2 linked regions of the Cricetulus griseus genome follow. The protein of the gene in region 1 binds, or shares a complex with, the protein of each later gene. Links are inferred from orthologs where the notes say so. Each region holds a gene or a part of one and is shown in the gene's direction. Other genes may lie near its edges.

Region 1 (3,563 bases):
CAGGACGGAGAAGAGGCCATCATGGATAGCGAGAGTCAACCTCTTGGTGACTGAGGAAAGGGAAAGTCATGCAGCGTGCAAGCGTGCTGTGAGGAAGGAGGAAGTTGAGCCACGAGAACTCTGCTGGTTTGTGAGGAGTGGAGCAGCGCGTCAGTCAGCGTAAGTGAGGGGCCTGTGCATTGAGCGGCCTGCAGTGACCAGGACAGGGAAAAGCAGGGGTTCCCTGGAAACCAAAGTCACCACTGGCCGCAGCACTGCCCAGCTCAGGACCAGGGACTGTGGTACTACAGCCTCGTCACAGTCACAGCAAAGACGATAGCAGGTCTTTCTGAACATTGTGACAGCCTTCAGAAACTGAGGCTTGGAGAAATCCGTCATTGCCCAAGTGTCGCAGAATTAATTATTAAGTGGCAGATCTGGGATTCAGCCCCCGTGCTGAAGTCTCATCTGACCTCGGGCTGGTTCAGAACCTAACATTTAGGGAAGGAGTGTCAAGGGAGATGTCCCAGACTTTTGTAAAGGCACAGAGCAAATGGCTTCCCTTCCACTCTGGCCTGGAAGTCCTGACATAGCTGAGAGGAGTAGGCAAGGCAGAAGCACTGTGATCACTGGGCAAGTAGGAAGCGACAGGTGGAGAACACAGTGATCTTGGTGCTAAAATGAAAGAAAGTCAGAATGTTTAGGTGTAGGGAGGTAAGAATCCATGCAGAGCAAGGGTCAGAGGTCACACACACACTCACAGAAGTTTCCTGTTTCATGCAGTCAGATCTTACCGCAGAAATAAAAATCACCTCAGTCAATCGCAGACAGATCCAGACCAGCTGTCCTTGCACATGAACTTCTGCTCCTTATCCATTTATGTGGAGAATCCAAGTGGGGCTTGTTTTAGTTGTTTAAGTCGCCGCCATGATTTTTAAGTAGATAATAAGTGCCTCACCTGCCTTTGCAGCCTTGTCTCCTGCCCTGCCACTTCCTCTCCTCTCGAGGCCTTTGCCTTTGGCCTGGAGTGCCCTTCTGCAGTGCTAGCTCTCAAACCCTTCTCGTCCTTCAGGGCTCAAATGCCTCTTCCCCTGTGAAACTGTCCCTGGTGCTCCAAGGCAGGCTTTGTCCTTCTTGCCGCTCTGATCTCACGGTGAGGCAGGAGAACTTTTCTGTAGTGTGTTTCACTCCTCCAAGTGATATATTTTGCTGTTTTTCTCTCTTCCTGGTACACTAAGTTCCTATTACTAGAGGATATTCTTATAGCACTTTAATGTTAATAAAATGCCAATTCCCAACTATGTGGAGGGAGCAGAAGTGATGTTTTCCTCATCCTTATAACCCCACGATGTCCACAATCATGGGAAAAAACAAGCACAGTCCAGTGCATGGCCTGTTTTCATGTGTCCACCTAAACTGAAACACCATTCAATCCTGAAATGTCTGCCCCGTTACATCAAAGTATAAAAGATGCACAGCCAGTGCATCTGAAGAAGTAAGGCTGGGTGGGGCTCTGGGAGCGGCCGGCAGGGTTTTTAGATCTCCACATTTAAAATGAACAATTGCAGAGAAGCCACGAGGCGCCTAGCATTCCTGCCAGGCAGAGACGGTGTCTCTGTCTTGGTTGATTAAAAAACTGCAGTGTAATCACGGGTCCTTTATGTCATCCCACACAGGGTGAAAAAGTGGAGGGGCTACAAGCGCAAGCCCTGTATCCTTGGAGAGCCAAGAAAGACAACCACTTAAATTTTAACAAAAACGATGTCATCACCGTTCTGGAACAGCAAGACATGTGGTGGTTTGGAGAAGTTCAAGGTCACAAGGGTTGGTTCCCCAAGTCTTACGTGAAACTCATTTCAGGGCCCGTGAGGAAAGCTACCAGGTACTTTATTGTTATCTGCTTCTGTTTGACGGAAACAGTATTAGCAATTGTTGTCCCTGCTGGTTAGATTCACTGGTGGGAGCTGCAGGATGAAGTGTGTGTGTGAAGGGTGGAAAGGGATCCCGTTCTCCTGAGCAGCCTGTGCACTGTGTTGCCTTGTCTAAGAATCCCGCAGCTGTTGGGAATTGTGACTCTGGATGCTTAGTACCCAGTACAGTACCAAATACAAGGCATTTGGGGAATCGACTGGAAGAATGAATGAATGGCTTTCTTCATTAGTGTCTGCATGTAGCATAGAACTATTGGATTATTCCACCATGCAAAGATAGCAGAAATAGCCCACAACATCTGCTAGTCAGTGCTGAAGAGACTGCATTGAGCTTGTGTGTCCTGTGTAGTGAGTGGGCAAAGCAGACGGGTGAGCGTGGTCACGCATGCCTCCAGCACTCTCACTGTGGCCGTACCCAGCTGCTAGTGACTGCTGCAGCTTTGGTCTTCTGTAGCTTTCAAAGAGAAAAGCAATGTCATTTGGTATTCTCAGGTGAGAGTTAAAATACTCTTTTCTTCCCTTCTTACAGCATCGATACTGGCCCTACCGAAAGTCCTGCTAGCCTAAAGAGAGTGTCTTCCCCAGCAGCCAAGCCAGCCGTTCCTGGAGAAGGTGAGGACGGGGTGTGTCCGCTCTCTTTAGGAGGCTGAGCACATTACTTGGTGCAGACTGTAAATGACCATGACTGGATTCACTTTTAAATAGGCCGGATGTTTCTGTCCTGCCTAATGATGTCTGGCAGTGAGAAGCCCACTGCGTCCACCAGGGGTCAAGTTCTGAGCATGTGTCAATGACGGCCTTGCTTCCCCGTGTAGCCCTCTTGTCTTGTTTACATCCATAACTGTATTGCTTTAAAACTGATGGCACAGTCCAGTGAAGCTCTCAGAACACCACGAGTGCCTTGGGTACACCCCAGCTGAGCCACAAGATCTCTGTGCTCTGTGAATGACCAAGTCAGGTTACATAGGCTTATTACAAATAATTCATTGCTTTTTTCCCCCCTCTGACCCTTGTTATATGGCATAGTCCTAGGTATTATATGCCAGGCTGTAAAAAGAGGTATTTTAAAGTTTTACACAGTTGAGGCCTCACTGGTCTCCTCCACGCTCACCGCAGTCATTACCTGGTAGCGCTGGCCGGGGCCACCTGAGTTAAGCATCTGTGTGGCAGTGAGCAGGCTCTGCAGTTACAGATGTCGGCAGAGGTGTGTGGCAATCTTTTCACAGGTGTCTGGAGTACATCTGTGATGACAGAGTGTGCTTCATGTGCTGTGGTAAAATTGTTGTGTTCCTTAGAAACTTTGCCAGCGGAAAACAGAGTTCTCGGAATAATTGCTTCAGCAGAGGCTGCACGGATGAAGGCTTAATGCTCGTTCCAACTCCCAGGAACACTAGTCCATTCTTAAGGAGACTTTTCAAAATAATGGTTGTTTAGTTTGCAGGCATAGTTGTAAAACCCTATCGCCACTTAAAAAATTCCAAATTTTTCCACGTAACTATTACTATTTTTTATATGAATATACATATTTATTATTATATGGACTCTCCTAGGATAATCTTTACACATTCACATTTCCTTAATAATTATTTTAGCACTATTAGAACAAGGCAAAAACCTCTTTTTTGATATAACATGCTTTCAGCCTAATTAAAA
Region 2 (4,027 bases), on another chromosome or scaffold:
TATTCTTCACCTATTCCCTTTCCTTTCTTTCCTCTTTCGTGTTGGTCATGAACCCAGGACCTCTATACTCTAACGCCGAGCAAAGTCCACCTCCCCAACCTCAGCCCTTGCTTGTTTCTTTATAACCCACATAACCCTCCTGACTCAAGGAGTCTAGTCATTCCACGTGACCTTGGCACCATCTCCACTTCTCTGCGGACACTGGCCTTCCTATCTGTGATAGGGGAGTGCCGGACTCAAGAGTTTTTCGTTCTTTTCCAGTCGACTCTACGTTCTCTGGCTAAATGCTCTGTAATTCAGAGCCAGCCTTTGACTGGAAATTTTAGGTTCTTTCCACCTGTCCCCCTCCAATGGCATAGGCCTGGCACCTGCGGCCAGTTGTAAAAGGACTTATTCATGCTCAATTTCCCCAGTGCACTAGGAGGGAGGGTACCTAAGGGACCGAGAGGAGGCAGCATGAGGAATTCTGCTCGCTACTACCTCCTCTTTGCAAATAATCCCACTTAGAGCATTGAACCTCTACTCCTGAGAAATTCCCATACAAACAGTGCAGTCGCAGACTGGAGGCGGGGGCGTCCTGTGCGCGTGCGTCGGCGCAGAACCCTCTCCCGCCCACGTGCGCGCTCCCGGGAGGAGGCGCGCGCCCCGGCGGGCTGGCGGGAAGGCGCGCGGGAAGCCCCCAGCTGCCTTCTCGGTGTGGGGGGAGGGAGAGTGGGAAGCGTCTGGAACGTTCCACTCTAAGAGAGAGCCGGGGGAATCTTTCGAGCCCCGCTCCCGTTTCCGTCCTTCTCCTCCGCCGATCAATCCATGAAGTTTCCCCCCACTTCTCACACCGAGATCCGGAGCCCCGTGGCGCGGCCTCGCTCCCCCTGAAGCAGGCGGTGGCCAGAAGCGCTTCCCTCTGCCGCCGGAGCGGGGCGCTGTGGCGCGGGCCGGGGCCGGAAATTCCCGCGGCCTGAGTGGTTGGCGGAGCCCTAGCGGGGAGAGCAGCCCCGCCTTCCTCCTTCCCGGCCGGGCGGGGGCGTCGGGCAGCGCGAGGGCCTGGTTGCCCGAGTGGGTGGGGGGCCGCCGCGTCAGCCAGCTGCAGCCGAGCCGCGGCAGGCGGCAAGCGCGGCGACGGCGGCCGCTCCTCCTCAGCAGCCCCGCGAGCCGCGAGCCCCCCAGCGCCCCCGCTCGCGCCCCCGCCCCCTGGCCGTCCCCGCCTCCTTCCCTCACACACCCCCCGGGCCGCCCGGGCCCCAGGCCTTCCCGGCGCTCCTCCTCCCTCTCTCCACACTCTGCTGCGACCCGGGTGCTGCTGCGGTCCTCCTGCCTCGCTGTCTCCGGGGCGAGTTCTCCTCCTCCTCAGGCTCTCCTTTCACACACACACGCGCGCGCCCTGGCTCTCTGGGCCGCCCCCTTTTCTCCAGCCCTCCTCACCCTCACAGTCCTTTAAACGCCGCCGTCGGGGGTGGGCGGAGGATTAATGTCCCTTCAGCATCATGCAGCCGCCGCCGAGGAAGGTAAGGGCGCCGCTGGCGGGGGGCTTTGGAGATCTGGGGGGTGGCGGTGCGTACAAAGAACGCGGCTGGGGCGACCGCTGCGCCCCCTCCCCCTTCCCGCAAGGGGCCGTGACCGCTCTCGCCTCTTGGCTTGTCACTGAGTTGCCGCCTGCTCCAGGCAGGGGGTCGAGTGTGTGAGGTGTCTTTCCGACGGAGGGCGGCCAGTGCTTGTCCACTGCACTAGGGATTACCGCCCCTCCGCCCCGGACATTCGCTAGAGTTTTTTCGGGCATGCATATGTGTGTCTGTCTGCATGGCAGTGTTGCCCAGTGCAAAGTGCTTTCTCGGGGCTGCACAGAGGGGAGGCGGGGGGAGCCCCTGCAGATTTGCAGAGCCCTGTGCGTGTGGGATTGTTTAGTCTGAGCCAGGTTCGAGTCCTCCAGTTGCTTGTCGACACCCCACCCATTGGCACATTTGCGGAGACACGGGGGGGGGGGGGCGTTGTTTTAAGTCTAGCCCCAAAATTTGGCCTGTTTTTCCCACGGGGCTGCGGAAAAGAAGTTGGTACGGTCATCTCCCTCCCACCCCAAGGGAAAGCAAATTAAGGATTGACGGGTCCTGCTCTCCCCCCCCCCCCCGGACGCCCAGCCCCGCCTCCGGCTAAGGGGCCAGGGAAACTGGCTTCCAGTATGAAAGCCAGAACCTGGCGATGCGTGGCTTGAGCACTAGGGCCGGGGTTTGCATGGCCTGGGTGGCAGTGACGGGCCGTACTCCGATGCTTGCCAGCAGCTTACCCTGCTGCGCCGCCCTTCTCCACCTTTCCTGGCGGCTAAGGCTGTGTCCTTGTCTTTGTAAATCTTTCAGATGGATACTAGATATCTACTCTGAGCAGTGGGTAGAGACAGTTATATCTTCCCCTCGTGGGCAAACATTTGCCACATGAGTAACTCAACGTTTGTTTCCTTTCCTTTCCCTTTCTTAATCTGGATTTCTCCAGTTAACTCATTCCCCCACCCCCTTCCCCCTGCACGTGTACCCCACCTCTCCATGTCGCTTTGCCCTGGTGGCCAGAATTCCACCATACTCGAAAACCATTTGCAACCCCCGGGGTCCGGTCTGGCCGGGGAGTCTCCGGCCAGCTGGCTTCGGCGGTTTTCGTTGTTTGAAGTGGGGCTGCCACCTGGCCTGGCTTACTGGGTTAGTTTAAAAGCCCTGCATATTCTAGAAGGTCACTTTTACGTTCTCCTTTGTGAGAAAAAGATTGTGATTTGATGCGCTGTCAGAGTGGAGGGCATCATTCTGAGACGGTGTTCTTTCTAGCAGCCATTATGGAATATTTTATGTAATTTATTCATGCATATTATTTCATGATTGTGTAAATTTCAGTTGCTAGGTATTAGGTACTGTATGCTTTCTTTCATCTGTGCTCACTGCTCCTGGTGGTTAATGTCTGTCTGTGTCTTTGGGAAGAAAGAGAAGACAGAATTGACAGTTTACACTCTTTAAACTGTAATTTTTGAATTTTTAGTCAGCCCCTGTTTTAGAAATTCTGGCAAATTTTTTCATTAATCATAGTTAAGTAGTAAAACTAAGTGGCAAATAATGAATTTTTTAGTTTTTATGGAGAGGAAAACTAGAAGTATACAGTCTAACAAATACTGTTTTCTTTAAGGAATTTTTCTTGTTCAAATTGTAGTAAAAGTCTTCATAAGTACATGTTGTGTTTTAGGTGAAGGTTACACAAGAACTGAAAAACATTCAAGGTGAGCAGATGACAAAACTTCAAGCCAAACACCAGGCAGAATGTGATTTACTTGAAGATATGAGGTAAGATTACAGTAAAGAATTGGAGAACTGTCTCTGCCACTGAGGACTTTTGAGTTGCCAAGCCCCAGGATCTGATGATGGAATTTCCTTTTGGATTTCCTGCTTTCAGGCTGCAGAATTTTGACTCAGCTGGAAGTTAGAACTGGAACTAACACAGTGCAAACTTTTCCTCAGTGTACACATACTACTGAAAAACAGGGCTTTAAGAGTAAGTCTGTCAGTTTGTAATCACTCAACTGAAAATTCTTACATCTTTTCACCAAGTAGTAAGTTATTATTGGCTTTAGCAATTCTACACAGACTTGTAAGCTGACACTTATGGTTAATGGTTAGTATCTGGGTTGCACCAGTCACCCCAGGCAATTTAATTGTTTGTTAAAACACGGCAAGTATAATTTGGTCTAAGTGTGCAATTCAGTGAGATCTATTTGTCATGTTTTATTAAAGCTACCTATATTCATAATCAGGGGATTCTGAATTTAATAGATAAGACATTGCATTCAGATTGTGAAAATGAATGTTATGACTGACTAGTGAGATGGACATGGTGGTACATATCTGGACTCCCAGTAATCCCAGCTCTCTGGAGGCTGAGGTAGGAGGCGTACAAATTCAGGGCCAGCTTGGGCTACAAAGGGAAACAGTTTTTTTAAAAAAGGGAAAAAAAGAGGATATTGTAAAAATGAGCAAAAAGTAGGAAATATTTTATTAAAGGAAGT

Evidence for each region. Proteins that work in one complex are often made in the same cells at the same time.
Region 2: the proteins of Itsn1 (region 1) and Fchsd2 are in contact, whole or in part, in a crystal structure (PDB 6GBU), measured with the Homo sapiens proteins. The link is inferred for Cricetulus griseus from reciprocal best matches to the Homo sapiens genes ITSN1 and FCHSD2. Residues at the interface, in NP_003015.2 of Homo sapiens: Pro1076, Ile1078, Gly1098, Leu1100, Leu1102, Gln1117, Ala1118, Arg1119, Gly1120, Lys1121, Lys1122, Arg1123, Leu1136, Ser1137, Pro1138; in NP_055639.2 of Homo sapiens: Tyr576, Gln581, Thr582, Asp584, Glu585, Gln602, Asp603, Asp604, Asp605, Gly606, Phe607, Val618, Pro620, Val622, Leu623.

What each region holds. Positions count from the first base shown.
Region 1 is NC_048597.1:5,925,761-5,929,323, reverse strand, and holds part of Itsn1 (intersectin-1), read left to right. Parts: intron 1-1,655; coding exon 1,656-1,861; intron 1,862-2,439; coding exon 2,440-2,522; intron 2,523-3,563. UniProt on the Homo sapiens protein: Adapter protein that provides a link between the endocytic membrane traffic and the actin assembly machinery. Acts as a guanine nucleotide exchange factor (GEF) for CDC42, and thereby stimulates actin nucleation mediated by WASL and the ARP2/3 complex.
Region 2 is NC_048596.1:98,440,411-98,444,437, reverse strand, and holds the start of Fchsd2 (F-BAR and double SH3 domains protein 2), read left to right. Parts: upstream 1-1,168; 5' UTR 1,169-1,481; coding exon 1,482-1,502; intron 1,503-3,210; coding exon 3,211-3,308; intron 3,309-4,027. UniProt on the Homo sapiens protein: Adapter protein that plays a role in endocytosis via clathrin-coated pits. Contributes to the internalization of cell surface receptors, such as integrin ITGB1 and transferrin receptor.